Mus musculus: one gene and its partner. Each later gene encodes a partner of the first gene's protein in a complex. Links are inferred from orthologs where the notes say so. Each region holds a gene or a part of one and is shown on either strand. Other genes may lie near its edges. The genes, in order: Ptpn3 and Mapk12.

Region 1 (4,360 bases):
CAGGTCCGACCATAGAATCCTAACCATCTCTCCATCCTTTTGTTATCATATTCATTCAACAAAACGTTTTTAGTTCTTACTGGAAGCCAAGCGTCGTTTAGAGGCTGGGTCTCTTGAGAGGCGGAGTTACCGAGCTGACACAGAGGGGAGGTACTCCTTAAGGGGGAAATCTAAGTCGCGAGAGACAGCCGGCAACATACTCCAGCAGCCCCTCCGCTCGCCCTTCCGTTTCACGGGCACAAAGCTTGCGCTCGTTTTGTTTTGAGGTTTTTTTGTTTTTGTTTTTGTTTTGTTTTTGCACCGGCTTTATCGTCCCAAGAAAGCTTCCTTGTTTAGCTGCGTGACTGAATGGTATTTGTCACCTGATCTGGTTGTTCCACCAGCTCTCACCGGGCCACCCCCTATCTTTCTTGCCTGGCTCCTTTCCCCTGTTCTTAGAATTTATCACCTAATACCCTGCGTTGTTTACGGACCTGTTGTTTGTTGCGAGAAAGTCCCTTCTAAACTCCCAACAAGGGGCAGAGATTTTGTCTATATATTAAGTGTGAAGAACGTAAGTAACTGTTGAATGGATAAGTGATACATGCTTGGAGTGCGGTAATGGACTTGGAGAGGGAGCAAGAGGTCAGGGCTAATTTAGAAAGGTAGCCAGAAAGGTCTCTCCTACAAGAGGCACCTGAATGGTGAGAGGGCTCGAAACACCAGCAAAGCAGGGCAAAAGACGTCCTACCTCGAGGGAAAGGCAGTGTAAAGGTCTCCAGGCGGGTCAAGTTCAGAGGGTATGATGGGGAGGAAGGTGCAGTCGGAGCGCAGGAAGACAGGTGTGGGAGGAGGCGGAAGAGGCCGGCTGGAACGCCCGCCACTAGGGGCCCTATAGGCTTTGGGAAGGGCTAACCTGCCTGGTGTCCTAGGACCAGCAAAGGAGCCCTGCGACCCCCAACTCAGCCACGGAGCCGCTGGAGTCAGCGAGACCCCCAACTCAGCCACGAAGCCACCGCGCAAGGCTCGCTGTCATTTCAGATTCGTTGAGCGCCAAGCCCTTGCCATTCTTAGGCATGCAATCCGGGAAAGCCAGGCACACAGTAGGTGTTCAATAAATGCTAAAAGCACGAATGGCTGCGTGCGTGAGCCAGGGGACCTGGAGGTCTGCGGGAGTTTGGCAGGTGGTCTGCGGAGGCCAGTGGCAGCGTCCCACGAGTTTGCCCCGGGCCCGCCCCTGTCCCGGGTCCCCCGCCCCGCGCGCGGGCCCGTCGCGGCCACAGCCGGGCCGGCGGGAGCCGCCCGCGGGCTGCACTGGGCATGCTCAGACGGCGGCCAGGTCGCGGCGCGAGCGAGCTTCAGTGCCGCCCGCCCGCGCGACCTACCTGGGCGCCCCGCGCCCCCGGATGCTGCAGGTATGGGAGACTGGGTCCTCTGCGGGGAGGGTCGGAGCGCGGGCTGCTGCGATCGCGGACACGCGGGGCTTACCCAACCCCCACCCGGTCCGGGGCTCGGCGGACACGCGGGAGGACTAGCGGTTGAGCTGGTAGCCCCAGGTCTCCGCGCCACGTCGGGCATCCGGGGGGCGCAGGCCCGGATCACCTGGCGGGGCTGGGGCGGGGCGCGGGCGTGGGCGGCAAAAGGCTGGGCGTTCTGGACGCAGCGGCGCGGGCGTGGGCGTGCGCTCCAGTCTGGCCGAGCCCTGGGCTTGGCGCCGAGGTATCCGCAGCCCGGCAGAGGGGGCGCACCGCTGCGGGGATCCAGCTCTCCGCGGTCCCCGAAGCTCAGCCACCCGGGGCGAATTCCCCTTCAGATTGCAAAGATGGCATTTCCTGGGCCTGGCACGAACTCCAGTGCCAAACCAATCCGCCCCGTTCCGCGGGCGACCGGGGTGGCTTCTCTGGTAACTTGCGGTGTGACACTGCTGCGTTGTGCAGGGAGAGAGCGCGCCCGGAAACCCCCGCCCCCGGTTGCTGCCTCCTAAACTTATTACGAACTTGAGGGTTGCCTTTAAAAAATTCATGAGAAGTTAAGATAACTTGACACCTGGGTGTTCCGTGAAGGTACAGGGAACTTGTGGTTGGGAAACTCTAGACCTAGGTTCAAGTTGGGCTCTTCCCCTTGGCCAGCTGGTGACCTTGGACGAGTCGTTTAACCTCTCTGATCCTCCATTTCCTCCACTGCACGCAGGCAGCAATAATGCCCACCTCGCCTGGTTGGTGGTGGATTAAGTAGGATAAATGGTGTGGAGGTGTTTGGCTCCGTGCCCGGCATAAAGCAAGCGAGCAGTTGGCGTGATGTGATTTTAATTCAGTTAGAGACCCTCATGGCTCCCATTTTGTCAGGAAGGTAGAATTAGGCAGTCATTTTCTGGGTCTGTGTTTGTGCCCAGGAGAACGTCTGCTGAGGCTTTGAAAAAAGCAACTCCACAGAGCGGTGGTGAGCTGCTCTTGTTTAATGGCAGTCTTTGTGAGTTCCGAAACTCCAGAAGTTGACACTCGGGCCTCACAGAAAGAACTATTTTTGCAAGATGATCCATCTTGCAAATGTCGAAGCGGATGAATTGGAAATCCTGGTTGGGAAAAAGATGCATATTCTGCAAAGCTCTCATGCTTAACCTTATGTTTTTGGATTGGGGAGCGGGGGTCTCTTAGCTTCTCACAGCGGGTTTGATCGTTCTTTGTGGTGGCTGCTCCTTGTGCATTACAGAGTGCCCAAAAGCCTCTGCTCAGTAGGTTCCAGTAGCAGCCTGCTTCCGACCGTGCCTACCAGGAATGCCTCTATATAGTGTCTGGGTTGAAGTGCCTCACCACCTCCACCCCTCCCCCACCCCACCCCCCGTGTCGTCCCTCTTTCCCCTTTTAGTAGAATTAACTGAGTGAGATAGCCTCCGCCTTCTGTGTAACCTAGGCTAAATGAGGATTTCATCTGGACTTTTGTTTTCTTTTTTTTCAATGATAATATCGAACCTTTGCAGTCACCTTGCAGAGCTGTGCTAGGTATGTGGACTATCTCATTTCAGTTTTACAGGTCTCCCTCTGAGACTGGTGTCACGATCCCATTTTATAGAGGAAGACATTGAGGCTCTGAGCAGGCAACTGTACCGTCCTGGGTATGACTGGGATGGAGGAAACCATGCTTCTGGTTCTGGGGGCAGAGCTTTTTCTTCTGGATAAGACTGCCATGTGTGTCTTACACAGATGTCTTTCCCGATGATTAAATCAAGATCTAGATTGTATTGGAAAACGGAAGCCTTCCTGAGATTGACTAGTTGAAAATTAACAATGGTAAGCTATTTTCTGACTGAGAGTAGGCCATTCTAGTTAAATATTCTAGTATATGAGCGCTCCCATAAATCCCAGCACACAGTTAATGGAATACCAGTCTGCCGAGAATTAGAATAGAATAAAACATGCCTATTACTCTATATTGATCTGTGTTGTCCCTGGTGATTTGTCTCATCCACAGACTAGTGTATGCAAATTAGACCTGAGTGGCAGACTGGAGGTTACTGAGGGCATTTAGAAGAGCTGAGGCATGTCTATGAGCAGATGTTTCTGTTTGCAGATGCAGGGCTGTGGGTAGGCAAACATGGTGAATAAGCCAAGGGACCCCCCCCCCCAACCTGGAATCCAGGGTATCTTTCATCCAGCTCAGGTCAGATCTGTAATGGGCCTTAGTGTGACTCTGGACTCCCAGCTAACCAAGATCTCAGCTTGAAGCCCTCACTTTACCTGATCTCACAGCAAAGGTGTGGTAGTTTTTAATATGTTTGTTGAGGTCTCGACTCCCTGCCAGTAAGACAAGGTCAGAGACAGATCTTATCCCAGAAAGAAATCGAGGTTGTAGGTTGGCCGTTGGTCTCAGTCCTGGGATGGGAATTGCTCTCAGTTTTTGTTGGCTGTGACCTGGAAGTTTAATTACAGTGTTGTGCCCTCCCCTCCAACACACACCACACATATGTGAGCTGGCAAAGGCAGTGAGAACAGAAGTAAGAGGACTCATTGTGGCCGTCTAAGCTACATACAGGTCTGTGGGTGCAAGAGGCACTGTTTTCTAAGATGGGTCTAACTTGCTGGAGGAGCCCAAAGACGTGGCATACACTCTTCCCTTTCAGTTCCCAGGGACTGGCATGTTGGGAAGGGATCGGTGATTTGTGGTCCCCCCTCTCGACCATAATTACAGGGCTCACTCTCCTACATCAGTCAATTCCTGGAAAGCAAAGCCTGCCCCTTTTTCTCTCCTCAGGCTCTGCCAGGGCTGGAGTGCTGGTGGTACCCTAGCCTGGCTCAGCTAGTGGGTGTGTGGGCCAATCCTCTGGGACCTTTCCCTCATTTTGCAGATGAGAGAGGACTGGGTCATATCCACATCGCTCTTGTCC
Region 2 (3,805 bases), on another chromosome or scaffold:
CCCTTGACCCCGGAGGTCCCGTCCCCTAACCAAGTACTGGGAAGCCAATGTCACATTGTCTATCTGTTGTCCAACTCCCTCAATCAAAAGCTGTGTTTCAATTGGTGCTTGGTCTAGACAGCCAGAGGGGATGGTCCCAGGAATGACCTACTGGGAATTCATTCCTCCCAGGGGACGGTCCCCACTTTGGTCTTGGGTCTGCTTCATTGGGAAGAAAAAAAGTGTGTGTGTGTGGTGGGGGGGATGGGGAGACAGGGGAGACAGAAGACTAAGGGGACCGGATTGCTCAGAGGCCTGGAGCCAACCCAGACCTGAGACTGCCCCTCCCCCCACCCCCTGAGAATCCCGGCTGTCAGCCTCCAAAAATAGCCTGTGTCTGTGGGCAAATGTACCAGGATGGGGGCTGAGCCGACAGTGGAGACAGTAGAGGAGACAGGGATAGTTATGGGAGGGAGGATTTTCAGCCTGGAGTACAGTGCCATCCCGGGGGTGCACTGAGGCCCTGCAGCTCCCGTGTGCTCTCTATCCCGTCTGCTACTTGTTCTTCAGGTCATTGGGCTACTGGATGTGTTCACACCTGATGAGTCTCTGGACGACTTCACAGACTTGTAAGTGCTAGTGGCTGAGAGGGTGGCAGGAACCTGGGTGGCTTCTCGGTGTCAGCTTAAGATCCTGGGTCAGGTTGAGGACCTTCTCCCCATAGCCCAGCGGTTCTCAACCTTCCCAATGCTGTGACCCTTTAATACAGTTTCTCATGTCCTGGTGGCCCCCCCAGCCAGAAGATTGTTTAGTTGCTACTTCATAATGGTACTTTTTTTTTTGGGGGGGGGGGTCCGAGACAGGGTTTCTCTGTGTAGCCCTGGCTGTCCTGGAACTCACTCTGTAGACCAGGCTGGCCTCGAACTCAGAAATCCGCCTGCCTCTGCCTCCCAAGTGCTGGGATTAAAGGCGTGCGCCACCACTGCCCTGCATAACTGTACTTTTGCTACTGATAGAAATTGTATTAGAAATGATATGTAGGATATCTGATAAGGGACAAGCCCCCCTCCCCCCAGGGAGTCATAGCCCATGTAAGGAATAGGGTGCACACTGCCCACCCACTCCTCTTACCACAGTCTATACCCCACTCCTATATGCTCCTGGGAGCCATGAACTTGTGTGAGTGATAATACCATTTTTCCTTGTGTATCCCTCCATCTATCTTAACATCCCTCTGACCTAGATGCCTTGCCGCTCCAACCCCTGCCCCATATTCCTGGTTACCCTATGTGTGGCAGGAGGGGCCTAGGCAGCTCCTGGGTACCAGCTTCAGGTTCTAAGTTGGCTTGAGTTCTTCTTCCCATGGCCCAAGTGAGGACTGAGATGTATACCTGCTCATTCACATCTCATCATAACCCATGTACTATTGGTAACCCCTGGATACTGGGATGCCCTAGTAAAGCCAGACTGTCTATCCTTCTAAGCCTGGGGAGTTTTGGGTCCTCACAGTGCCTGAGGTATTGGTATAACTAAGCAATCTAAGGTGCCAATATCAGGTGCAGCCTCAGCCGCTCACCCTGCATGTTGGGAATTTTAAAACCCTGAGGTGGCCTGTGGTGGCACACACACTTGCAATCCCAGCATTTGGGAGATAGAGCTAGGAGGGACAGGATTCCAAGGCTATTTTGGCCTGCCTGAGACCCTCTCTCCAAAAACAAAAGCAAGGGCTGGAGAGATGGTTCAGTGGTTAAGAGCCCTGACTGCTCTTCCAAGAGCACGTGGGTTTGATTCCCAGCGCCTATCTGGTAGCTCACAGCTTCTGCAACTCTAGTCCCAGAAGAGTTGATATCATCTTTTGGTCTCTGTGAGCACTGTACATGGCGTGGTCCACGGATACACGTGGAGGCAAAGCATCCAAAAAATAAAATAAAGACAAGACAAGGCTGATGGTAGTGGTGCAAGCCTTTAATTCCAGCACTTAGATGACAGAGGTAGAGGCAGATAGCTCTCTTTGAATTTGAGGCCATCCTGGTCTACACGGTGAGTTTCAGGCCAGACAGGACTGCAGAGTGAGACCTTTCCTCAAAAACAAACAGAGAGCCCTCAAACCCAAACAAAATACCCCTGACACACAGCCCACTCCTTGCTTGCCGTTCTGGAAAGAGGGGATGTGGGCATGGGTTGAGAGGTGTAATTGTCAAGGACAGTGTGCCCAGAGGGTGGGTTGTGGTCTAGCACGGCATGGTAGGGGTAGAAACATCATAGGATGGTATGACCCCCCCCCCCCCATTGCTAGTGATGAATGGACACTCTAGGGTAATGATTTGGTGGGCTTCTGCAGCTACCTGGTGATGCCATTCATGGGCACTGATCTGGGCAAACTCATGAAGCATGAGACCCTGAGTGAAGACAGAATCCAGTTTCTTGTGTATCAGATGTTGAAGGGGCTGAAGGTAGGCTTTGCAGAGGTGGCCATAGGGAGGCGGACAGAGCTTCCCGTTTGGGCAGGGTAAGGGCTCTGTGGCTTGGAGTATCCCTGAGCTGACTGCTGCTGAACTCTTTCTTTCCCCCAGTATATCCATGCGGCTGGTGTCATCCACAGAGTGAGTCCTGGCGGGGCTGGGAGATTGCAGCTGGGCTCCTCTCCAGCTGTGTAGACAGATGTGCTCAACCCCAGTGCCCATGGCTTAACTATGAAGGGCAAGATAGGTCTGTGGTGGGGATGCTTTCCCTGGGGACCAGGAAAGCCCCTCTTGCTCTTCCCCAGAGGGACCAGGCCAGTTTTAGGTGGCCCTAATAATGTGCAGCCTGAGCCCTGCTCTGGCAGGTGGGTCATAGTGGCCACCTTTCTTCTCTCAGGACTTGAAGCCTGGCAACCTGGCTGTGAATGAGGACTGTGAGCTGAAGGTATCGCTGGGAGGGGAAGATGACCACGGAAGGGGTTGGGGGACCCCTTCTACTTCCCCTATGGGTCTGCTTGACCCTTGGCCGAGGCAAAGGGACAGAACTCAGACATTTGTGCAGAGGCTGAGCAGCTATTAGGCAAAGAGTGGCTGAATATCCCTAGTCACTCAGGGCTCCTAAAGGTGATTAGGGGACGGTGAAACAGAAGAAAACCTTTGGCATTTGACCTGAGGTGGGTAGGGCCAGGTGTACTGACCACAGGGAGAATCCTGGGGGCGCAAGACCAAAGGGTGGCAAACAGTTTAGCGTAGAAACTCAAGCCCAGCTCTCTTAAGGTCTTCTGGACCATATCTGGTCTATCCTCAGTGTCTAAGTTCCACCTCCTCGATACTTCTTTAGATCCTAGACTTTGGCCTTGCCAGGCAGGCAGACAGTGAGATGACAGGATATGTGGTAACCCGGTGGTATCGGGCACCAGAGGTCATCTTGAATTGGATGCGCTACACGCAGACAGGTAAGAGGCTATCCAGAGACTCCAGTGCACACCATCCACATTTACACATTCATTGTATTTTAAAATTATTTTTGTAGTATCGGGGATGGAACCCAGAGTCTTATTCATGCTAGACAAATGTCCTGTCACTGAGTTACATCTCAGTCCGTCTGTCTGTCTGTCTGTCTGTCTGTCTGTCTTTCTTTCTTTCTTTCTTTCTTTCTTTCTTTCTTTCTTTCTTTCTTTCTTTCTTTCTTTCTTTCGTTCTTTCTTCCTTCCTTCCTTCCTTCCTTCCTTCCTTCCTTCCTTTCTCTTCCTTCTTCCTTCCTTCCTTCCTTCCTTCCTTCCTTCCTTCCTCCCTCCCTCCCTCCCTCCCTCCCTCCCTCCCTCTCTCTCTCTCTCTCTCTCTTTCTTTCTTTCTTTCTTTCT

What was found.
Region 2: the proteins of Ptpn3 (region 1) and Mapk12 are in contact, whole or in part, in a crystal structure (PDB 4QUM), measured with the Homo sapiens proteins. The link is inferred for Mus musculus from reciprocal best matches to the Homo sapiens genes PTPN3 and MAPK12. Residues at the interface, in NP_002820.3 of Homo sapiens: Arg655, Leu671, Asn674, Arg675, Tyr676, Lys677, Asp678, Val679, Arg751, His812, Ser843, Ala844, Gly845, Ile846, Gly847, Arg848, Met883, Gln886, Thr887; in NP_002960.2 of Homo sapiens: Met182, Thr183, Gly184, Tyr185, Val186, Val187, Arg189.

Annotation. Positions count from the first base shown.
Region 1 is NC_000070.6:57,297,315-57,301,674, reverse strand, and holds the start of Ptpn3 (tyrosine-protein phosphatase non-receptor type 3), read left to right. Parts: upstream 1-1,305; 5' UTR 1,306-1,394; exon of another isoform or gene 1,395-1,936; intron 1,937-4,360.
Region 2 is NC_000081.6:89,134,204-89,138,008, reverse strand, and holds part of Mapk12 (mitogen-activated protein kinase 12), read left to right. Parts: intron 1-549; coding exon 550-608; intron 609-2,320; coding exon 2,321-2,432; intron 2,433-2,552; coding exon 2,553-2,582; intron 2,583-2,838; coding exon 2,839-2,886; intron 2,887-3,282; coding exon 3,283-3,397; intron 3,398-3,805. UniProt on the Homo sapiens protein: Serine/threonine kinase which acts as an essential component of the MAP kinase signal transduction pathway.